Tribolium castaneum: one gene and its partner. The protein of the gene in region 1 interacts with the protein of each later gene in a pairwise test. Links are inferred from orthologs where the notes say so. Each region holds a gene or a part of one and is shown in the gene's direction. Other genes may lie near its edges.

Region 1 (15,914 bases):
CTACAAGATAAAAAATTTACATCGATAACCTACATATCACATAAGAATTGTTTTAGCTTAAATCTATAAAACGACTGTTCTGGTGACGTCAAAAACCAATGTAATATTCACTGTCACACGCCTAGTTCATAAAACATGCATCACAATATTGAATGTCAATACCGTCAACACGAAATAAGTCGTCTGCAGTTTACAATTTTCTATTTTAAGACAGCTTTCTATGACGTGAATGGAGCTTAGAGTAATTTAAACAATTCCATTATGAAAATTTAATCTGCATCTAAAATCAAATAGTCCTTGGAGGCGGAATCGTACGTCGTTGATTGATTTCTGGGAGGGGTAGCCCAACTTTGCAAATCAGTTCGTTCACCCCACCTGTAGCTCGATCTTATCCACCACTTCCTTGTAGAAAAATATGGCTTTCGTATATGCACGTGTGTACGTCTTAGACAATAATGTGAAGGTAAAAAATAATCGATAGAGGTTGTTGGCCTCGACCGCGTCGCGGTCAGCAAACCACCCTCCCACCCCTAAATAATTCACAAGTTCATTTTAAACGTTAAAAATGATTGCACACGTTTTCTATTTGGAGAGGGGTTAGTGACCTTCATGTTAATCCATCCACAAATGTTTTGTGTCTGTGTATTTGTCCACGATTTTTTGATTTACAATAAACTGAAGTTTGGGTTTTATCGCTGTTTGCAGAAGATGGTAAAATAGATTACGAAGCGACGAACGAAGCCAAGTGGCAGAGTCACTTAAGTCAGTTGGTTCCTTGTCAATTCTGCTCCAGGACTTTCAACCCAGACAGGGTGGAAGTGCACGAGAGGAGCTGCAAGGGTTAATTCAAGTGTGATTGTATTTTTTCCAATAAATAATAACAAGTTTCCTGGCTTTTATTACTGAGTATTTGCCAAATCATTAAGATAACTCGCAGCCAAAATTGCTATTCATGTTCTGTTAATCCTTGAAAACCCCTGTTTGCGACTTTATTTAATTTCTTTTAATTAAACAAAGTACAAGAGATAAATTTAAGTGAAACACAATGCATCTTCAAGTGTCACACAGATCAGTAAACAGTTGATACTAAATCTAATTGAATACCCTCGATAAGAGTTCCTCTGGTTCATTCCTCGCCCGTCTCCTTGTTTTCACACCAGAACTTTCAAAAATGTAATACCCACCAAAGATCAGATAAATATTTGCCGCCGTGTTGTATTGTGACTGCGTTATCGGTAAGTGAACTCGCGACCAATACGAAGAAAAATGGCTTTGGAAAAATCCAAAAGCATCGAAGCCGGTCTTCAGACCATCCTAACCGAAGAGGACCCTCCGGATTCCAAGCCAAAAAACATCTCCTTGTGCAAGAAAATCAAACTCATCTTCACCAACATCACCGTCGAACCAGTCCTAATATGTTACGTCCTTCCAAGTGTGATGGCAAGCATCGCCACACAAAACCTCAGTCTCGAAAAGGCATGTCGTGTAAACTTGCAAATGGACGAAGACATTTGCGACGCTTTAAGCATCCGAAACCGATCTGGTTATAACGAAAGCGACGAAATCGTAACCCAAACACTGATCACTTCAATGAATACTTGGAAAAGCATGATCCAGAGCTTAGTCCCATCGCTCTTACTCCTGTTTTTGGGGTCGTGGAGCGACCGCCACCAACGACGCAAACCTTGCATCATCCTCCCGATTTTGGGTGAAATTTGCACATGTACTGGCTTTCTCCTGTCGACGTATTTCTTTTACCAATTGCCGATGGAATTCAATGCTTTCTTCGAAGCCGTTCCGCCTGCTTTAACCGGGGGCTGGTTCGCGATGTTCATGGCGGTGTTCAGTTATGTTAGCAGAATTTCTTCTGTGGAAACTAGGACTCTACGAATCGGTGCTGTTAATCTTTTCTCCAACGTCAGTGTGACTGTTGGGATAGCCCTCAGTGGTATTCTCTACAACGAGATCGGGTTCTACGGAGTGTTCTCTCTAGCCATAGCCATGTATACGACAGCGTTGATTTACGCCATCGTCTATGTCAAAGATATGCCGAAGAACGAGGAGGTGATTGTGGATAAAAACGTGAAGAAAGTGAACCCAGTTTTGGACTTCTTCAATTTGAAACATATCAAGGAAACCCTGAACGTGGCTTTTAAAGACGGCCCACGTAACCGGAAGCGCCGCATTTGCACCATCATGATCCTTGTTATGGTCATAATCGGACCCATGCATGGCGAAATGCAAGTCATGTATCTGTTTGTCCGACATAGGTTCAAATGGAACGAAATTGACTACAGCTTGTACTCAACCTTCCAATTTGTCATCCACGTCTGTGGAACTGTTTTCTCTTTAATGTTCTTCAGCAAATTCCTCAAAGTCGATGATGCCGTCCTTGGAATGATTTCAAGCACGAGTAAAATCGCCGCTTCCCTCGTATACGCTTTCGCACCCACAAGTACAATTTTTTATCTTGGTAAGTTCTCAAATGACCCTCTCCCACAACCAAACGATTATTGCAGGAGCGATAATCGAGGCTTTAAACGGTACTTCTTTCATCGCCATGAGATCAATTATATCAAAGTTAGTACCTCCGGAAGAATTGGGCAAAATTAACTCTTTGTTTGGAGTTTCTGAAGCTTTAATGCCCCTTGTTTATGGGCCCATGTATAATATAGTCTATGAAACCACAATTAAGGTCCTACCAGGCTCCTTCTTTCTACTTGGAGGGGCTTTAACTGCGCCTGCGATCGTAATATTCTAGTAAAGTTTCACGAAAATGGGGAAAGCTTAAGGTTGATACGAATTTGTTACAGTTGGTTATACCGAGAGCATCAGAAAGATCAACAAGAGGAGGCGAAGGAGAAGCCACAAAAAGCCAGTTTGTTACCTAAATGATAAGAATGTAAATAAATCTGTTTTGTTACAAAAACTGCTTTTTATATTTCACACTAATTGTTAAATAATAACATAGAGAAATTATGAAAACGCGTTGCCAAACGATTAAGGCCCGGTTTCCGGTACGATTAAACTTAAATTAGTTAATTAGTTAAATTTTATCTCTCTGTTAGTTGCTAAGGTACTGCGTATCTGATTGGCGTTGCTATGTTTTAACTGAGGTTTAAATTTAATCCCTCCGTTAAATATGTTTCCAAAAACAGGGCTTTCTGGTTTTTCAAGTTTTCAGTGCGTAAAGCAGAGAATGCTTAAAGTCTATTAAAAAATTGGAAACAATATTTCTTATGGCATATCTCCAAATGAAAGCTTTTTCTCTTCCAGCCACTGGTGATGTGGATTTCGCGGGCACCTTCCACAGGATATGGGACAACCACTTGGCTGAACTGGTCGAATGTGGAAAATGTGGCCGCAAATTTTTCCCTGATCGGATAGAAACTCACCGAAACGCCTGTGCCGGGCTCCGCATTCAAGTTAAAGGCAGAAAACGGGAAACATAACTGTATAAAGAAATAAAACCGTTTTTTTATCAACCCGCTTTTTACTTTTCACCAAGGCGACAAAAACTAGTGACTTTTTCCACGTTGGCAATACCGTGAAGATGCAGCTGCGTGGCAGTTCTTAGCCCACTTCACGTCAATCGTCCTTTCACGGGAGTGCGCCATTACTGGCGTATCGTATTTTTGTGTGTGTTAACAAAATCAAGAAACATCCAACATGGTAAGCCCTTTTTGTGGATTTTATTAACGTTAAACGATTGCCCCAGCCTCTCTCCACGCCGTGGATTATTTATTTCGGTGGCTTAGCGTTATTTTAGTGATTTTTAACGGATTTGTTCAGATTGCACAATAAGATGAAAGTACACTCTATCCGGTATTTATGTTTACTAATAAGTGTTTTTCGGCTTCGTTGCCCGCTTGTAATTAATAAAAACGAACCAAAGCTGGGATTATTTGATCATTTAACGGTGGAAATGTGGAGAAAAGGGGACGTCAAGTGTCAACACATGTTGGATCTTAACCGGACATCTGTTAATGTTATGTGGCCCCCTTAGGTGAACTTCACTGTTGACGAGATCCGTGCTGTGATGGACAAGAAGCGGAATATCCGTAACATGTCCGTCATTGCTCACGTGGACCACGGCAAATCAACTCTGACCGACTCCCTTGTGTCCAAAGCTGGTATCATTGCCGGGGCCAAGGCGGGAGAAACGAGGTTTACTGACACGAGAAAGGATGAACAAGATAGGTGCATCACCATCAAGTCTACGTAAGTGCCCCAACCCTCGTTGCCAGATGGCTGATTCCTTATTTTAGTGCCATCTCCATGTACTTCGAACTTGAAGACAGGGATCTCGTCTTTATTACCAACCCTGAACAGCGTGAGAAGGAAGAAAAAGGTTTCTTGATCAATCTGATTGACTCTCCCGGACACGTCGACTTCTCATCAGAAGTCACAGCCGCTCTTCGCGTCACTGATGGCGCCCTTGTCGTCGTTGATTGCGTTTCTGGTAAGTTTTTGTAAGAAGTGTCGCTTCCAGCACAACAAGAGCCACTTCATAGAGCATTGGCTGCTTGCAACCAACGCTCAACGACGATGTTGGCAGTGCAATGGAAGGAGATTAATTTCAACATGTGTTTAAACGCTGCCACAGGACCTCTATCTTTATGTCCGGTTGTGGCACGCTACGGCATGAGTTGTACATTTTATTTATGAGAAATTGGAAATTCTCGGTTTTTAATTGGGAAACGTGGCGTTTTAGGTGTATGTGTACAAACCGAAACCGTACTTAGGCAGGCTATTGCCGAACGTATCAAGCCTATTTTATTCATGAACAAGATGGACAGAGCTTTGTTGGAGCTGCAGTTGGACTCAGAGGAACTCTACCAAACTTTCCAGCGTATTGTTGAAAACGTGAACGTCATTATCGCCACTTACGCTGATGATAATGGCCCAATGGGTAACATTCATGTAAGTTTTTAGTAATTTAACGATTAGAAGTTAGTTGAAAAAAAAAATGAAATTATGCAATGGTTGTTTTTCTGAATTAAACGCATATCGCGAGTTAATTCGGGAGGTCTAATTAATTTTTAATTGACTAGAACCATGAAGAAACTCGCAGATAAGGTCCACTATTTGCCCTGCTTTAGATTAAAAATATTTAAAGCAGTTTCCTGATGTGGAACATTGAAATTAATTTTTTGTGTCATTTTTTTTATGAAATTTCTTTTTTATAGGTCGATCCTAGCAAAGGTTCCGTTGGTTTCGGTTCAGGTCTCCACGGATGGGCTTTTACCCTCAAACAGTTCGCTGAAATGTACTCTGAAAAATTCAAGATTGACGTTGTGAAACTAATGAACAGATTGTGGGGTGAGAACTTCTTCAACCCCAAAACCAAGAAGTGGGCCAAACAGAAGGAAGCCGACAACAAACGCTCCTTCTGTATGTACATCTTGGACCCCATCTACAAAATCTTTGACAGCATCATGAACTACAGGTGAATAATCTTATTAATTGATTTAATTTACTGGACATGAAGGATGATTGTTCTCACAGACCTGTTCTGATCTGGTTGACGACAAAAGAACGGCCAACTGACCTTAATTAATCTTTAAAAAGTTTTGTGTAATTTTGAATTGTGGCCAATGTTGTTTATTCATGTTACAGGAAAGAAGAATACGAAGCTCTGTTCCCCAAACTTGGTATCCAGTTGAAACACGAAGACAAGGACAAAGACGGCAAGCCTCTCCTCAAGGTTGTGATGCGCACCTGGTTGCCCGCTGGCGAGGCTCTCCTCCAGATGATTGCCATCCATCTCCCATCACCCGTAACTGCCCAGAAGTACAGAATGGAAATGTTGTATGAAGGTCCCCATGACGATGAAGCCGCCATCGGTATCAAGAATTGCGATCCCAATGCTCCTCTTATGATGTACGTCTCGAAAATGGTACCCACCTCTGATAAGGGACGTTTCTATGCTTTCGGTCGCGTCTTCTCCGGTAAAGTCGCCACAGGAATGAAGGCACGTATCATGGGACCCAACTACACTCCCGGCAAGAAGGAAGATTTATACGAGAAAGCCATTCAGCGTACTATTCTCATGATGGGACGTAACGTCGAGGCCATTGAAGACGTGCCATCAGGAAACATCTGCGGTTTGGTCGGTGTTGATCAATTCTTGGTCAAAACTGGCACCATCACGACCTTCAAGGATGCCCACAACTTGAGAGTTATGAAGTTCAGCGTATCGCCGGTCGTACGTGTCGCTGTCGAACCCAAAAATCCAGCTGATTTGCCCAAATTGGTCGAAGGTATGTTTTATTTTTTAATAGTTACAAATATCAAAGCAAGGTTCCTTCAATGATGATTGTTCTCACAGACCTGTTCTGATCACTTTGACGACAAAAGAACGGCCAACTGACTACTAACACACAACCAATTTGTTGGAGAGAATTTTGTTCATACGTAATGTCAAGAAGTTACAAAGTGTTGGTTTTTTTTTTTTAGGTCTCAAACGTCTTGCTAAATCCGACCCTATGGTCCAATGTATCATCGAGGAATCCGGCGAGCACATCATCGCTGGTGCTGGCGAACTCCACTTGGAAATCTGTCTTAAAGATCTTGAAGAAGACCACGCCTGCATTCCAATCAAGAAGTCCGACCCTGTCGTGTCATACCGTGAAACCGTCGTTGAAGAATCGAACCAAATGTGCTTATCCAAATCGCCAAACAAGCACAACCGTCTGTTCATGAAGGCCGTACCAATGCCTGAAGGTTTGGCTGAAGATATTGACGATGGAAAAGTCAACCCACGTGACGATTTCAAATCACGTGCCCGTTACTTGGGCGAAAAGTATGAATACGATGTGACGGAAGCTAGGAAGATCTGGTGCTTCGGTCCCGACGGCACCGGCCCCAACATCTTGGTCGATTGTACGAAGGGAGTGCAATATTTGAATGAAATCAAGGATTCGGTAGTCGCTGGGTTCCAATGGGCTACGAAAGAAGGTGTTTTGTCTGAAGAAAACTTGAGAGGCGTCAGGTTTAACATCTATGATGTTACTCTCCATGCTGATGCTATCCATCGTGGAGGTGGTCAAATTATCCCAACCACTCGTCGTTGCTTGTATGCTTGTCTTTTGACAGCTGGGCCAAGGCTTATGGAGCCAGTGTACCAGTGTGAGATTCAGGTACAAAGATTAAGCACTTTAAATTAGTAACAATAATAATGATTTTTTTATAGTGTCCTGAAGTCGCCGTCGGTGGTATCTACGGTGTGTTGAACAGAAGACGTGGCCACGTCTTTGAGGAACAACAAGTAGCTGGTACTCCTATGTTCGTGGTGAAAGCCTACTTGCCTGTAAACGAGTCGTTCGGTTTTACCGCCGATCTCCGCTCCAACACCGGTGGACAAGCTTTCCCACAATGCGTGTTCGACCATTGGCAAATTCTCCCCGGAGATCCGCTTGAAACCAGCTCGAGACCATACACTGTTGTACAGGTGAGTGTAGGCGATTTTGACCCATCTTCAGACAACTCTGGATTGTTTTAAATGTCCACGAGTTTGCTTTTGATGGGAGATCAATAGTCTTTTAGTTTCGGTCTTGAAGTAAAATTCCTGGCCTGAATAGGGGGGCTGACATTCTAATGGTCAATCCCAAACGTTGCGCTTGGCATGGTTGTAATTATTTTTTGTTTTTGCAGGAAACACGTAAGAGGAAAGGTCTCAAAGAAGGTCTACCCGATCTTTCACAATACTTGGACAAACTATAAAGAGGTGGTTTTAGTTATGTACAGATTATTTAAGATTCATCTTAAATTATACAATAAAGCAATTGATAATTATAATTTTTTTTATATACTGGCAGGGTGAAAATACATGGATCAGTTGTAACTTTGTTTTTTGCTTCCCAACGCATTGGTTGTATTTTAATCCACATTATTTATGACAACTTATTTTCAAGTAAATTGTGTCCAAGAATAAGACAAGGGTTTTTATTGTTACCAGTGCATTTTTATTTAAGCTAGTTGAACTGATTAATTATAAGCAATTTGTTTTAACATACGGAGTTGAGAATAAAGGAGGAGTTTTTATTTGTAGAATTTCATTTTCAGTAGGTTAGGTGGGGTAAGAGTCCAAATATTTGTAATAAAGTTTGTTGCAGTAACGTTAGGTCAGTTTGCGATGGGGCTTCTCCGACACGTTTTAGGTGAGTTTCTTTTTAATATTTGACTTAAATTATCAATATTTAGATGATGATTTTTTTACGCCATAATACCGTGATGGATGTAAAATTTTAAGCTCAACAGGTCTGAAGTTATTTTCATAAAACAAGAAAATTGTCGAAATTTATTTTGTGTTTAAACCATTTTTGTTTTGTTGCAGTTCACAACCTGGGGCTCATTTGGCAGTGCTATTATTTGCTAGCTATTAAGGTAAGATTTTTAATTTTTAAGTAAATAGTAATTGTTACACACACCCCACACATTTAAGCCGGCCGTTTCATGTCTTAAAATGAAGAGGTGTGCTCGTTGTGGGAACATTAATTCTTTTCATGTGTATGGTTATTCAGCAATTCGTCTGTCTAACCAAAGGAAGATTAGATACATTTCATTCAAAAAAAAGCTTTTCTTTATTTGTGTCTACTTTTACAGGTAATTTGAAACAAGGCGCCCTACTTGGAATTCATTAGATGGTGGTGAGTTTCACAATTTAATCATTGTTTTAATTTTTTTTTAAACGTAACGTGATGATTTACTTACCGCCCCAGTCTGAAATCGGTGACTGATTGGTTTTTCTGATTTGTTAAATAGTACAAACATTAATATGTATTTATTTTTGTTCTTTAGTTGTATTAAAAGCAACACACATTCAGTAGTTTTAAAATTTTTTAAATTTTTTTCACTATTTAGGTTTATTTTTTGCAGATAAGTAACGGTGAGGGTGCCTTGGCTTGGATTTTTATAAGCTGGTGAGTAAAATTGCATTATTTGCTTATTTTTTTTTAATTATTGTGTGATGATTAATTTACCGCCCCAGTCTGAAATCGGTGACTGATTGGTTTTTCTGATTTGTTAAATAGTACAAACATTAATATATATTTATTTTTGTTCTTTAGTTGTATTAAAAGCAACACACATTCAGTAGTTAAAATTTTTTAAATTTTTTTCACTATTTCGGTTTATTTTTTGCAGATAAGTAACGGTGAGGGTGCCTTGGCTTGGATTTTTATAAGCTGGTGAGTAAAATTGCATTATTTGCTTACTTCTTTTTTAATTATTGTGTGATGATTAATTTACCGCCCCAGTCTGAAACCGGTGACTGATTGGTTTGTCTGATTATTCATTTATTTATTTTTTTTAATTTTTTGTTAACTGTTTCAAAAGCAACTTTTTCTTTGTTGCAGGTTCTTGAGGTAAATATTCTTCATATATTTCTGTAATTAAAAAAATTTGAATAAAAACGTAAAACAAGGAATGCTTTTTACTGTTAACGAATCCCAAACAATACTACAATTATTTATTAAAGCCTATATTGATAAAATGAATTTTGAACATTAAATAAAATCTAGAATAAAATGCAACAGTTATATCATTAATTTTATATTCCAGTAAGTACGATATTTAATTAGTGATTTTGTTTTTATACAAAGTAACAAGTGTCCTCGCTGCTAGAAATAGGGTTTCTTTTCTAGCAACCCCACTCACCCCCTGTTGCCAATTATTTTTACAAACCTAAAACAGATTTTCTAACGAATTACAAACAAAACAACTCAACTCACTTGTAAATACGCCGCTAGTAGTTTTTCGGTTGAATCGCACCCTTTCGCATAGCTGGGCATTTCTTTTTCGGCCAACTTCACAAAAGAATCAAGCGGAATTGGTGTCGTTTGAGTATATGTTTTAAGCAAAATCTTTTTCTCCACATCTTTCAAAACTAAGACGCTTAAGTCAAACCATTCATCGTTTTGTTGTAAAAGAATATTCTCAATAGCAATTGTTGGAACTTGACTCGAGTTTAACGCCGCTTTTAGCTTTTCTTCCGCCCTCTTAATCCCTTCTTCAAAACCTACAGCTTGGTGTTTCCTTTCATCAACTTTAACGCTAATCCCACTTGAAAAATTTAATCAATTACACGAGAAACATACTTTGTGAAGAAATTACTTCACCCAAGCTTTACCAAATACTGAAAAAATTGCCTCACGAATGGGGGCGACTTCGTCCGGGTCTTGCGATACAACAGCAAGCTCCACGTCCCCTCCAGAATCTAATAAATCAACACAATAAATGAGTGAAAAACGCGGAGATTCTTACAAATGAACTCCGACATTTGTGGGTCTAGGGTTGTGATGAGTGAATCTACGGAGTTTTTCGCCTTTTCCGCAACCTTTGATAATATGCCACCGCTGGAGACTGCATCTTTCATCCAGCCTATCAGTCCCCCGCCCCCCTGTCCTGCGTCTGCACTAGTTTGGGGAACTGGTCCATGTTGAACACCTTTACTCGGCGGTATGGCAGCACTGCAAGTTAGTTGCAGATAATTTGAAACCTTGAGTCAAATTTACCTAAACTGGGTTTGGGGGAACGGTTGGACGTTAACCGGTGCGGGGGCCGCTTGTGTAGCCGCAGGCGCGATGTTTGGAGGTAAAGGGGTAGGTGCTGGGATTGCTTGAGACTGCCACAGTGTGAAATCAGGGAGATTTGTCGGAGGTGGTAAATTCGAGAGCAAATTTCCACCCGGCAGAGCGACACCCCCTGGGGAAGGTATCGAGTACGGAGATGACACGCTACTCAGAGATTCTGGAATCATTTAATAAAATTGGGGCGATTTTAGGTTACAAACGTGTCACCTGTCTTGTCATTCGAGGCATCGTCCTGCTTCTTGTCGATTATTTCAAATGAGGCTTCGCCGTTTGAGTCCTCTTGTAACATTTTATTTACTTTTTACTGATTGATTATTGTAAACATATGATCACATCGTAGAATAACAGAGAATTTGGTTTGTGTACGTAAACGTAATCGTGGCACAACTAGGGATTTTTCCGCTACGTGTGAAGTTAGCTACGTGAACGTTTTATTTGTTTTACGCGAGATTTGTTTACGAAAATAAAAGTAAAGTTTGCTTTACAAAACCCTCGCCTGAGGTTCCATCCTTAGTCATCATTAAGTAAATATTTCCAAGCACTTTAAAGCGAAAAATCGTCGTTAGCACCTGGTGAATAATTAGGTTGGCATTCCCTATTGCCATTAATTTTTTTGATTGACGTTTGTCAATTTAACAGACCGGCCGCGTCAAATAATTAATTTTATCGCCTTTTGAAATAAAATGGCAGACCCTGTGGAGCCGCCCCCTTTATTTGAAAACGTGGACATCCTTTCCGACCGAAAAGAAGACGAAGATCTCTTCGTGTCAGCCAGACAGGTACACGGCTTGTAATTTGATATATCGCTTGATAACCCCCCACTTGCCACAGGAGCAGGCCGAACCGTACAAAGATGAGCCCCAGGAAGGCCTCAACGGCGACGCCGACCTCACCAACCTCTCCCTGGACGACCAGAAACCCGAACTGGAGACTGTCCCAATCAACAATAGTGGAACATTGCCAGACACCATGGAACAAGTATTTTTTCACACAACTGATAAATTTTTATTCGCATTGTGAAAACTACAGGTCGAGGCTGCAGGCGGCGATCAATTTTTGGAAATATCCATCACGGAGCCCCAAAAAGTGGGTGACGGCATGAGCGCTTATATGGCTTACCGGGTCACAACAAAAACCAACATGCCGATATTTAAAAAACGCGAATTTTCGGTGACGAGGCGTTTCAGCGACTTTCTGGGCCTCCACGACAAATTATCAGAGAAGTACCTCAAGGTCGGGAGGATCATACCGCCAGCGCCTGAAAAGAGTGTCATTGGCATGACCAAAATCAAGATCTCCAGTCAAGCGGAGGGCAGTCCTTCGAACGGAAACGACTTTGTCGAACGCAGGCGCGCGTCCTTGGAGCGTTACCTAAAACGCACTGCCCAACACCCTGTCCTGGTACTGGACCCCGACTTTAGGGAGTTTCTGGAGTCAGGTTGGTAGAGCTGGCTGTTTTTCCCCCTCACATTCCCATTTCGTTAGATATTGAGCTGCCGAAGGCCACAAGCACGTCTGCCTTGAGTAGCGCCGGTGTTATGAGGCTCTTCAATAAGGTTGGCGAGACTGTGAACAAAATCACCTACAAGATGGATGAGACTGATCCAGTAAGCCAATCACGAGTTGGTGGGAGTTAGTAACCAATCAAATTTCAGTGGTTTGAGGATAAGTTGGCTCACATTGAGGCTCTGGAGACTCAGCTGAGGAAATTGCATACCAATGTTGAGGCGATGGTGGCTTACAGAAAGGAACTGAGTCACTTGACTAACGGCGTTTCACGGTCTGCGGCGATGTTGAGCGCTTGTGAGGACCACAACTCGCTCTCAATGGCGCTGTCCAATTTGGCCGATACTGAGGAAAAAGTTGAAGCATTGCATTTGGAACAGGCCAACACGGATTTCTTCATTCTCTGTGAGTTACTGAAGGATTATTTAGGGCTTCTCGGGGCTGTTCGTGACGCCTTTCATGAAAGAACAAAGCTTTTCCAACATTGGCAACACTCGCAACAAATGTTGGCCAAGAAAAGGGAAGCCAAGGCTAAGATGGAGCTCACAAACAGGACAGACAAGGTCGACCAAGCTGGCGCTGAAGTGATAGAGGTGAGTGGCACCAGCACTATCTGTTGTAAACTTTACTAATGTCACTATAGTGGGAAGCCAAAGTCGAACGTGGCCAAGAGAATTTTGATAAGATCTCGAAAATGATCAAAACGGAAGTGGAGAGGTTTGAAAAGTGTCGCATTCACGACTTTAAAATTATGTTTATAAAGTATTTTGAAAACCACCTCAATCACCAAGCCCAGGTTTGACTGTAGTAAGGGTAAAAAACTCTAGACTGATGTGGTGTTTCAGCTCGTTAAGTACTGGGAAGCCTTCTTGCCGCAAGCCAAAGCGATTGCTTGACTAGAGGATATCTGCAAAGAATAGCAGAACAGACATTCCTATTGGAGATTTCCAGAAGTTTAATGTGTAATATACAATTTTTGAACTTATTTAGCACGAGGAGTCTCCAAGTTCGTCCCTTTTTTATTTCTGTCATTTACACATAATCAAATATTTGTAGTTTATAACCCTATTGTTGAATCTATTTATGTTACTTTGTAGCCCTTGTGTATTTACAGCGCTACGTTAAAATATAGCTCCTTTGTTATGTAAAAATCGCCTAAAGAATTATATTTGTTATGTGCTTTGTGTGAAACATGAATATTATACCCTACATTGTGATAAGAATATGCTCAGTTTTTGAAGCTTGATTCTTGTTCAAGTCTAGTGCAAGTTAAGGTAATTTAGGTCCCTATTGGCATTGTGTACAAGTGATGCATGAATTATCGAATATTGTACTGCTTCCATTATGTAAGAAAAATTTAAATAAAATTGTACATTGGACCGGATCTCCTTATTACACTAGCGCCACCGTGGGTGTGTGGCAATCAAAGCAAAACTTCCAGGTTTGAGGTTATGAGTTGACCCACATTTATACTTTTTTTCTTTGCTATGGCAAACCGAAACATTGACGAATCACTCAGGAAGCCTCGTAGAACCAAAGGGACCCCTTTTTACGTACAGAGGAATTACTACGCGGGTGGAGTTATAGCAGTTGGGGGCCTGTTCTGGCTACTTTTCGAGTAAGATGTCAGTTTGAAGTAAAATCATTTTTCCGGTCATAATTCGTAGACTGTGGCCCGAAGCCCAAAAGCTCAAAAAAAGTTACCTTGAGGGCAAGTTTGACGATAGCCCTGAAACCCGGCGACGCTTTATGGCCACTAGCCTCGTAACCAAAGGGGGCTATTTGGAACTGTTTAGTGCCTTGAAGGCCAGAGAAGACGCAAAAGAAGATGAGCTCTACACGGACAAAACGAAGCCGCAGCCGTGGTACACAAAATTCCACACAAAGCCAGACATCTAAACCTGTAAAGCGTAGGTTAGTGTAGTGTACATACTGTAATAAAGTTGTTTAATCATTTTTGTCGTTTCATTAGCGCCACTAAAACGGGGAAGATTTCGAAATATTTCGCCAAAATCACTAAAGACAATGCCGAGGGCTCTGAGAGTTCAGGTAGTTTCTCAGATTCTCCTTACAAAAACTGTTTAAGTGAAGTGAAACTCGATGACTCCGCGGGTAATTTAGCCGATTTTGAGACTCCTAAAGCGATCAACAAAGTGTCAAAGATAGCGAACGCGAAACCCCCGTGTAAAAACGTTAAAAAACGCAAGAAAACACAAGTGCCCCTTACAAAATTTGTTGAGGACAATTTCAAGCATGTTGACGTCAATCCGGACCACCTCCAGATGGCTTTAGCTCTCTCTGAGTCCACCTACGCCGCAGAAAATCCCGGTCAAACCCTCAGCTCACAAGAAAAAATCGATTCCTTTAGAGGCGCGTTTGAGAAATTTGGCTTTGGGTATAACAAAAGCAGGGTTTCAGTACAAGAAAAGAAAGAACGACTAGACCCAGCTAAAAAGAGTAAAAAATCGCGCTATAGACATGTAACCCCAATACTCAAAATTCGAACTAGCGAGGAACGAGAATCACTAATTTCGTCAAAAGTTTCACTCATTTTGGCCCAGAATGAACGAACTCGTTTGCCTAAAGCACAAGAAACGCTTAAATTGTTCTCCGCCTTCCTTCAAAAATTGACAAAACGGAAAATATTCCCAATAAACAACTTGGCCTTAGAGGAGCTGAACGAGGAGGGCCGATTCTACGTGCAGGGGTTTGAACCAAGCACTGGATCATCTTGTGGGCGCTTTTTGAAGGATTGGGGGAGCATTCCAGGACGTGAACGCACCCCCGAGCGTGTCATTACATCAAATGTGCCAAAACTGTCGCAAAGTTATTTACAAAGTGATAAAGAAAATTTAGAACCGGAAGAAAACGCGTTTCGTGAAAATTCTCCACAACCGTCGCCTTGGACCAGATTATCTGTGTGTGAAAGTCCAAATTTTATTTATAACGACAGTTTGTTTGCATCTGAAAAGAGGGAGGAAAGAAGAAACTCTCGAGTAATAGATTTAACCAACTCTGACGAAAGTTCAAACGAAAATAAAAATTTTGAATGTAACACCTCCCAAATTATTTATGGAAAGTTTCCATCTCCTGCTGTAAAACTTGGAGAGGAAGACTTCTCCAAACGTGGAGACGATAATCCGTTTTCGAGCGAAATAAGCTCCGTAATTTCCCCAAATAAAGATGCTAGCAGTCCTTCAGGGAGGAGTGAAGAGGGAGTGAATTCCTCGTTTCAAATATATAATTCTCCAAAATTATGCTTGTCACCTCAGCTTTCTCCGATAACTCCGAGTTATCAAGGTGTTAAACGGTCTCGAGATTGTATTTCTCCCGATTTGTTCGAATCAGAAAGTGAACATCAACTCTCTCGAAATAACGAAGAAGAAATGGAATGCTTTGACCTGACACAGTCCGACAATGAAGAGACTACAAGTTTCCATGTGAGTCGTTCTGCACCTGATGACTCAGTTGAATCAAGCTTGAACGTCACTGAGTACGTAAATAATCTATTATCCGGCGATCAAACATCACCACAACCACGGAGATTAGAAAAAATAAGTACTAGTGATGATGATTCACCAGAAAAGAGTTGTAGTCAAGAAAGCATCTACATAAGCGACGATGAAGTGAATTATTCAAGCGTATTTAGCGAAAAAAAGGTGCAATATGAGTTTTCTGATGACGAGGAGTTTGATATTCCGGACATGGAGCTATCATTATCTGAACGATTAGGACTTAAAAATAGTCCGAACTTCTCCGATTTGTCTAAAGCAGGTCCTTCAGATACAATCACCAATGAGGATTCCCCTTTGA
Region 2 (8,686 bases), on another chromosome or scaffold:
AATGAGCAATACTTATTATATTTAAGAATTGCTCTAATTAGTCAAATTAATAAGTAATTGGTCCAGCAAGAACTACTACATGGAGGTTTAGAGCCTTCTTGCCAGGAAAAAAGGAATTAAGGATGAGGTAAACAATTATTATAAGAAAATGAAGGGAATAAAGGAATATTGGTTTGTGAAATGAAAAATACAACAAAAAAATATTTTTTCACTTGGACTTGAACAAAATGGACCTACCTTTATATGGCTTCTGCGTTGGCTACTGTTTGTAGCAAGACATTAAAAAGAAACTAAAAACAACACCATGAAAAAATCTTTATTTGCATGAAAGTTACAATAAGCGGCTTTTATCAACATTATACAAAATAAAGAATACACAATAGGTTACAATAGATGGCACTCAAACTATTAAATTTAACATCACACAGGATAAATAGAAAAAAAATGAACTTACCTTCATATGGCTTCTGCGCTGGCTACTGTTTGTAGCAATAATAAATAAATAAAAAACAAAACCGATAAAAAAGCTTTATTTGCATTAAAAAAGTTACGGTAAGCGACTTTTGTCGATTGAAATTAAAGACAAAATCAGTACAATGTGCCAATAAATTATTTGAGCGTTTTATTTTATTTATGTTTCACTGAAAGTCCCATTTAAAAAATTAAAATGCACTTTTGCCACAGTTTGTAGCAAGATAATAAATTAGAACGATGTGCCTTTAAATTACTAGTTGAAAATAATACACATTTGATTTAATTTTCTAAAAATAAATCACTGCAGGCGTACCTTTTAATTCAAATTATTTCCTTCTTAAGTCCATTCCACTGGCACTAACACACTTACCGCGATCACCGAATTTAAAATTTAAACCGAAAAAATTAGATTTTACGCAACAACAGCAAGTAACAAACTAAATAAATTAAACGGCACCAATAATTTTGTAACGCTCTAAATAAATCAAGTCGCCTCCCGATGTGACCCGTGCGACTGTTCGTTGCCGACTGTCTCGCTCTCGCCTACTGCGACGCTCGCGTAACATCACATGACGTCGCGGATGTGACGTCAAACTCACATCTATAAAACTGTTCATCAACAGAAAATTTATTAAGAAAACAGCACATTATTTTTCCTGTTTTTTTTCCTTTCTTTTGTGCAAACAAGTCAGTCAATGTTTAATAAATTAATTTATACTTATAATTTTACATTATTTTCATTATTAAAATGGAATGATTTCAAAGTGTACCAATAAAATAAAAAATAACGTAAAGTATTCGTGGATAACTGGTCTTTAAAACTCTTGCTCTATTTCGAGCACTCCGGCTACGCCGTCGTGCTCGAAAAATCGCGCGTGCTTCAAAGACCTCAATATCCACTTATACATTCCTCAATATAATTATATTTATAATTATATATTATATTATATACATGTATATATATTATTATATTTATTATATATTATAATTATATTATAAGTTTTGTGACTTTTGAAATATAAAAAATTTCAGGAGGAACTCATAAAAAAACTTTCCGCCCCCTTTAAATGCCCCGACCCCAACTACCAAGGCTGCAATTCGACCCGCACCCTGGGCCTCCGTCGCAGCGTCGCCCCTCGCCCCTTATACGACCCCAACACCCCCAACGCCCTCATCCTCTACTCGCCCCCCGAGCAAAGCGAGCACGAAAAACTGAAAGGCGACGGCCCTGTCCTCGTGCACGTCGTTGTCGACCCGTCCTTGAGCAACATCCTGCGCCCCCATCAGCGCGAAGGCGTCAAATTCATGTACGACTGTGTGACCGGCGTCCAAATCCCCAACTCGTTCGGCTGCATAATGGCCGACGAAATGGGACTTGGAAAAACCCTACAGTGTATCACCCTCTTGTGGACCTTGGTCCGGCAGGGCCCCGAATGCAAGCCGACCATCGACAAGGGGATCATAGTCTGCCCCAGCTCCCTGGTCCGGAACTGGAGCAACGAGATCGACAAGTGGCTCAAAGGCAGGCTGAGCTGTCTCATCATGGATGGGGGCCCCGATGCCAGGAAAAAACTGACCCAGTTTATGCAAGGCTTCGGCCGGACGGCAATCCCAGTGTTGATTATTTCCTACGAGACGTTTCGGATGCATGCCGAGATTTTGCACAAAAGTGAGATTGGATTGGTGTTGTGTGACGAAGGACACAGGTTGAAAAACTGCGAGAATCAGACGTATAAAGCCTTGATGGGGCTCAAGGCCAGGCGGAGGGTTCTGTTGAGCGGGACGCCGATTCAGAACGATTTGTTAGAGTACTTCAGTTTGGTGCATTTTGTCAATGAAGGGCTGTTGGGAAGTGCTCAGGAGTTTAAGAAAAAGTTTGAGAACCCCATTCTGAGAGGGCAGGACTCCACTGCCACGGACTCAGAACGACAGAAGGCGGTTGAACGGCTTAAGGAATTATCAGATTTGGTGAATCGTTGCCTAATTAGGCGAACTTCCAACCTTCTTACTAAATATCTCCCGGTGAAGTTCGAAATGATTGTAATTTGTCAACTGACCCCGTTGCAAAAACAAATCTACTTGAATTACATCAACTCGGAGGGTTTGCGCAAGGGCGTGTTGAACGACGTTGAAGTTAAAGCCTCTCTGAGTGCCTTAGCCAGCATCACAACGCTGAAAAAGTTGTGCAACCACCCTGATTTGATCATGGATAAGATTCTTGAAGGTGGGGAAGGTTTCGAAAAATCGCGCCACTTGCTCCCGCCCAATTATAATGATAAAGATGTGATGCCGCAATTGTCTGGAAAATTGATGTTGCTTGATTGTTTCCTAGCCAATTTGAAGAACAACTACAATGATAAAGTCGTGTTGGTGTCGAACTATACGCAGACTTTGGATCTGTTTGAGAAGTTGTGCCGGAAGAGGGGGTACCGGTATGTGCGTCTTGACGGAACTATGAGTATTAAGAAGAGGGCTAAAGTTGTGGCGAATTTTAATGATCCGGAGTCGGGGGAGTTTATTTTTATGTTGAGTTCAAAGGCGGGAGGGTGTGGCTTGAATTTGATTGGTGCTAATCGGTTGATTATGTTTGATCCGGATTGGAATCCGGCGAATGATGATCAGGCTATGGCAAGGGTGTGGAGGGATGGGCAGCAGAAGCCGTGCTATATCTACAGGTTCTTAGCGGTAAGGAGAATTTTATGTGGTAGTGTTTTATCTACAAATGTTTTGTACAGCACTGTTGACTTTAAAATGTTAGAAAATTACACTTGGTCTATTTCGAGCACTCCGGCTACGCCGTCGTGCTCGAAAAATCGCGCGTGTTTTAAAGAATTCAATTTCCACTTATACTTATTATTATACACACAGAGACTGAGAAACCTAGAAAAATTAGGATTTTTATTTCTTAAAAAAATGTTTAAACTTTTAAGAAGTTAAGTGGAACACTTTCTAAAAATACAATTTATGTCTGTTCCTATGTATTTTAAATTAAAATGTTCCAATAAAAAAATTTTTTGGTGTTTAGCTATGTTTTGGTGTCTATGGTGTCTCGCATACGCTCGTTGCATAACGACAGCCTTCGACCTTTAAGCTTGTATTTTTTCACTTGTATTATAATAACTATACACCGTTCACGATTGTTTTAAATTCGGACTATCTATGAAAATCTGACATTTTATTTAGCAGTACTGTGAGTTGTCATATGAAATTTTGGGTTATAATTGATGACAACCAAGGACTGTTGTCAGTTTGCTTCGTTTTTTAAATAAATAATATATATATATATATATATATATATATATATATATAGTATATTATAGTATTCATTCATACTATATTATACTATTCATTATCATTAGTTAAAAAAGTCGGGTCTGTCTTTCTTGCATCCTTCAAAGCATCTTTTGATACACGCTTTCTTATCAACAGAAATTATTTTCGACATTTTAAATTAATAAGCAGTAGAACTGACAACAGCGAATTTTTGACAAGAAACGTCATAAAGACAGTACCTGACAGGACCTGAGGCCAACCTAACAAAAATATATCTACGCCTGCTGAGAATTTAAAACAATCGTGAACGGATAATATACAATCTCAATGAACACAAATAATGAATTTGTATCATTTGTTTTTAATTTACAGGGTGTTTTACGAGTCCTGCACCCAAATATACAAAAATCACAAAACATTAGCTAAAAAAAATGTACTTTTTGTTATTTAATTTTTGGTTACCCATGACAGTAGATGTCAAACGAATTTTCATGTGTTTTATCAAGCGAGAGAATGAATATAATTCTAATATGTCTAACTTAATCACTAATTAACTGAAAGCGTTGCAATTTTTTAAGGGGTGAACAAACTAGAGATGATTATCCAATTTTTTCAAAATTTATAATCATATTCGTATCAGTATATATATTATTCGTTACATTTTATCACGTAAAATTACGGGAAACACCTTGTACTGTACTATTTTCAGACCTAATATCTTTTTTTAAAACTATAAAAACAACTGTCACCTAAATCTAATTTTTTTTTTTGAATTTTGAAAACGCCAGGAGAAAGATCTTGAAGATATAAAGGATCTAAAGATCTAATTCCCAAAGTGAAATCAAAATTATTATGTACCAGATTTTAAGAAAGTAGTTAATTTTGAACATCTTCTTGCCTTAAAACAAGAAAATGGCGTTTTCTAGGCGGAAACAAGGATCCTTTGCTTCAAAACAAAAAAACACTTACCGAACATACAAAAAAAACTTTATTCGTGCTCAGAAAAACGACCTAAGCATTGGCTTAAAAGGAAATAATTAAATTCTGACAAAGTTTTGCTTAGAAATGAACAAATTTTATGAAAGTTGTCCAAAAACTACTAACTTTACCCGAAATGTGTTTTTATTTTTATTGTTATTATTATAATGATTACTATTTTAGATAATTTACGTGACGATTTAGATAAAATCAGCTTGTTTCCGACGATTATTTGCTTCGAAACGTGAAATCTTTTATAAATCAAACTGAAAAAAAAATACAATTAATGTTACAGTTTGAATGAAAACGGCTTACTTCGGACAATTGTTTACTTTATCTTTTGAGACTTGTAGTTAATTTTTAGAATTATTTTTGCATTTTTACCTAAAATACACAAATTACTAAAAAGAAATTAGGTTTGTTTTTTACAAAGAGTGTTCCTGTTCCTTGCAGGCGGGGACAATTGAGGAAAAAATTTTCCAGAGACAAGCTCATAAAAAAGCCCTGAGTTCGACTGTCGTTGACAATAATGAGGAAACGGCGCGACACTTTAGCGTCGCCGAATTGCGTGATTTGTTTAAATTGGAACAAACGGACTCGGACACACACGAAAAACTCAAATGTAAACGGTGTTTAGGTAAAATACAAACGAAAAATCCGTCCGATGAGGCTGATTGTACGTCGGATTTGCAAGATTGGTACCATTGTTGGGACAAAAAAGGGCTGGCAGATATGGTAAATTTTTAATCAAAGTGCCCTTGAACGTGTTGGAATGGTTGGGTTTTTGTAGGTTCTTAAACAAATATGGGATTTGTCCAAATACATTTCCTTTGTGTTCCATCAAAAATCAGCCAAACAGGAAGTTAAACGAGTTAAGGAAGAAGAAGTGGAGGAAGATCCTGATTACGATGATAAGGATGATTTGGATTATTCGGAATAGTTGTATTTTCTATCTGTTGTTAAATATTAAATACGGATTAAATTTTTTTTGCATTTTGGTGTTTATTAATCCCCTCCCTGAATATATATATATATATATATATATATATATATATATATATATATATATATATATATATATATATATATATATATATAATTTCTTTAAAAAAATGCCAATAAACTACAGAATTATGTCAAAAAATGTCATTATTCTTGCAAATTCTGAGGATTTAAATAAGTTTTTAGACCAAAAATCAAGTTTTTTCACTGTTTTTATTAAACTAGAACGGAAAAATTACCAAATTTGGTCGAAATTGACCAAAAATTTACCTTTTCTAAGTGTTTATTCAGTAAAAACTCAATTATTGCGTAAAATTTCTTAAAAAATGAGCTAACAAATCACAGAATTATGTCAAAAATTACATTATTTTTGCAAGTTCTGAGGATTTTAACACGTTTTTAGACCAAAAATCAAGTTTTTCTGTCTGTTTTTCTTAAACTAGAACGAGAAAATCACAAAATTTGGTTAAAAATTACCAAAAAATTACCTTTTTTAAGCAGTTATTTCGCAAAAACTCAATTATTGCGCAAAATTTCTTTAAAAAAATGCCAATATATCACAGAATTATGTCAAAAATGACATTATTTTTGCGAGTTCTGAGGATTTAAACAAGTTTTTGGACCAAAATCAGGTTTTTTCACTGTTTTTATTAAACTAGAACGGAAAAATTACCAAGTTTGGTCGAAATTGACCAAAAATTTACCTTTTCTAAGCGTTTATTCAGCAAAAACTCAATTATTGCGTAAAATTTCTTAAAAAATGAGCTAACAAATCACAGAATTATGTCAAAAATTACATTATTTTTGCAAGTTCTGAGGATTTAAACACGTTTTTAGACCAAAAATCAAGTTTTTCTGTCTGTTTTTCTTAAACTAGAACAAGAAAATCACAAAATTTGGTGAAAAATTACCAAAAAATTACCTTTTTTAAGCAGTTATTTCGCAAAAACTTAATTATTGCGCAAAATTTCTTAAAAAATGAGCTAACAAATCACAGAATTATGTCAAAAATTACATTATTTTTGCAAGTTCTGAGTATTTTAACACGTTTTTAGACCAAAAATCAAGTTTTTCTGTCTGTTTTTCTTAAACTAGAACGAGAAAATCACAAAATTTGGTAAAAAATTACCAAAAAATTACCTTTTTTAAGCAGTTATTTCGCAAAAACTCAATTATTGTGCAAAATTTCTTTAAAAAAATGCCAATATATCACAGAATTATGTCAAAAATGACATTATTTTTGCGAGTTCTGAGGATTTAAACAAGTTTTTGGACCAAAAATCAGGTTTTTTCACTGTTTTTATTAAACTAGAACGGAAAAATTACCAAGTTTGGTCGAAATTGACCAAAAATTTACCTTTTCTAAGCGTTTATTCAGCAAAAACTCAATTATTGCGTAAAATTTCTTAAAAAATGAGCTAACAAATCACAGAATTATGTCAAAAATTACATTATTTTTGCAAGTTCTGAGGATTTAAACACGTTTTTAGACCAAAAATCAAGTTTTTCTGTCTGTTTTTCTTAAACTAGAACAAGAAAATCACAAAATTTGGTGAAAAATTACCAAAAAATTACCTTTTTTAAGCAGTTATTTCGCAAAAACTTAATTATTGCGCAAAATTTCTTAAAAAATGAGCTAACAAATCACAGAATTATGTCAAAAATTACATTATTTTTGCAAGTTCTGAGTATTTTAACACGTTTTTAGACCAAAAATCAAGTTTTTCTGTCTGTTTTTCTTAAACTAGAACGAGAAAATCACAAAATTTGGTGAAAAATTACCAAAAAATTACCTTTTTTAAGCAGTTATTTCGCAAAAACTCAATTATTGTGCAAAATTTCTTTAAAAAAATGCCAATATATCACAGAATTATGTCAAAAATGACATTATTTTTGCGAGTTCTGAGGATTTAAACAAGTTTTTGGACCAAAAATCAGGTTTTTTCACTGTTTTTATTAAACTAGAACGGAAAAATTACCAAGTTTGGTCGAAATTGACCAAAAATTTACCTTTTCTAAGCGTTTATTCAGCAAAAACTCAATTATTGCGTAAAATTTCTTAAAAAATGAGCTAACAAATCACAGAATTATGTCAAAAATTACATTATTTTTGCAAGTTCTGAGGATTTAAACACGTTTTTAGACCAAAAATCAAGTTTTTCTGTCTGTTTTTCTTAAACTAGAACAAGAAAATCACAAAATTTGGTGAAAAATTACCAAAAAATTACCTTTTTTAAGCAGTTATTTCGCAAAAACTTAATTATTGCGCAAAATTTCTTTAAAAAAATGCCAATAAACCACAGAATTATGTCAAAAAATGTCATTATTTTTGCGAGTTCTGAGGATTTAAACAAGTTTTTGGACCAAAAATCAAGTTTTTATTACTATTTTTATTAAACCAGAACGGAAAAATTTCCAAATTTAGTCGAAAATTACCAAAAATTTATCTTTTCTAAGCAGTTATTTCGCAAAAATTCAATTATTGCGCAAAATTTCTTTAAAAAAATGCCAATAATCCACAGAATTATGTCAAAAAATGTCATTATTCTTGCAAGTTCTGAGGATTCAAACGAGTTTTTAGACCAAAAATCAAGTTTTTTCACTGTTTTTATTAAACTAGAACGGAAAAATTACCAAATTTGGTCGAAATTGACCAAAAATTTATTTTTTCTAAGTGTTTATTCAGCAAAAACTCAATTATTGCCCAAAATTTCTTAAAAAATAAGCTAATAAATCACAGAATTGTAAAAAATTACATTATTTTTGCAAGTTCTGAGGATTTAAACACGTTTTTAGACCAATATATATATATATATATATATATATATATATAATATATAATATATTATATATATAAATAATATTTATATATATAATATATAATAAATATATAAAATATTTTTTGCATTTTGGTGTTTATTAATCCCCTCCCTGAATATATGTATATATATATATATAT

What was found.
Region 2: the proteins of eEF2 (region 1) and okr interact in a two-hybrid assay, tested with the Caenorhabditis elegans proteins (2 studies listed by BioGRID). The link is inferred for Tribolium castaneum from reciprocal best matches to the Caenorhabditis elegans genes eef-2 and rad-54.L.

The regions. Positions count from the first base shown.
Region 1 is NC_087396.1:14,886,007-14,901,920, reverse strand, and holds eEF2 (translation elongation factor 2), read left to right. Parts: upstream 1-3,516; 5' UTR 3,517-3,669; coding exon 3,670-3,672; intron 3,673-4,006; coding exon 4,007-4,221; intron 4,222-4,268; coding exon 4,269-4,462; intron 4,463-4,714; coding exon 4,715-4,923; intron 4,924-5,189; coding exon 5,190-5,449; intron 5,450-5,619; coding exon 5,620-6,263; intron 6,264-6,459; coding exon 6,460-7,142; intron 7,143-7,195; coding exon 7,196-7,453; intron 7,454-7,456; exon of another isoform or gene 7,457-7,548; intron 7,549-7,656; coding exon 7,657-7,725; 3' UTR 7,726-8,046; downstream 8,047-15,914. Other genes in the region: uncharacterized protein LOC664550, read left to right, coding at 706-845; lysosomal proton-coupled steroid conjugate and bile acid symporter SLC46A3, read left to right, coding at 1,267-2,473, 2,520-2,760, 2,814-2,895; protein PRRC1-A, read right to left, coding at 9,577-9,687, 9,735-10,065, 10,117-10,219, 10,267-10,472, 10,518-10,752, 10,803-10,884; structure-specific endonuclease subunit SLX4, read left to right, coding at 13,930-14,015, 14,074-15,914. UniProt on the Caenorhabditis elegans protein: Catalyzes the GTP-dependent ribosomal translocation step during translation elongation.
Region 2 is NC_087401.1:14,214,254-14,222,939, forward strand, and holds the end of okr (DNA repair and recombination protein RAD54-like), read left to right. Parts: intron 1-1,506; coding exon 1,507-3,159; intron 3,160-5,178; coding exon 5,179-5,460; intron 5,461-5,515; coding exon 5,516-5,665; 3' UTR 5,666-5,720; downstream 5,721-8,686.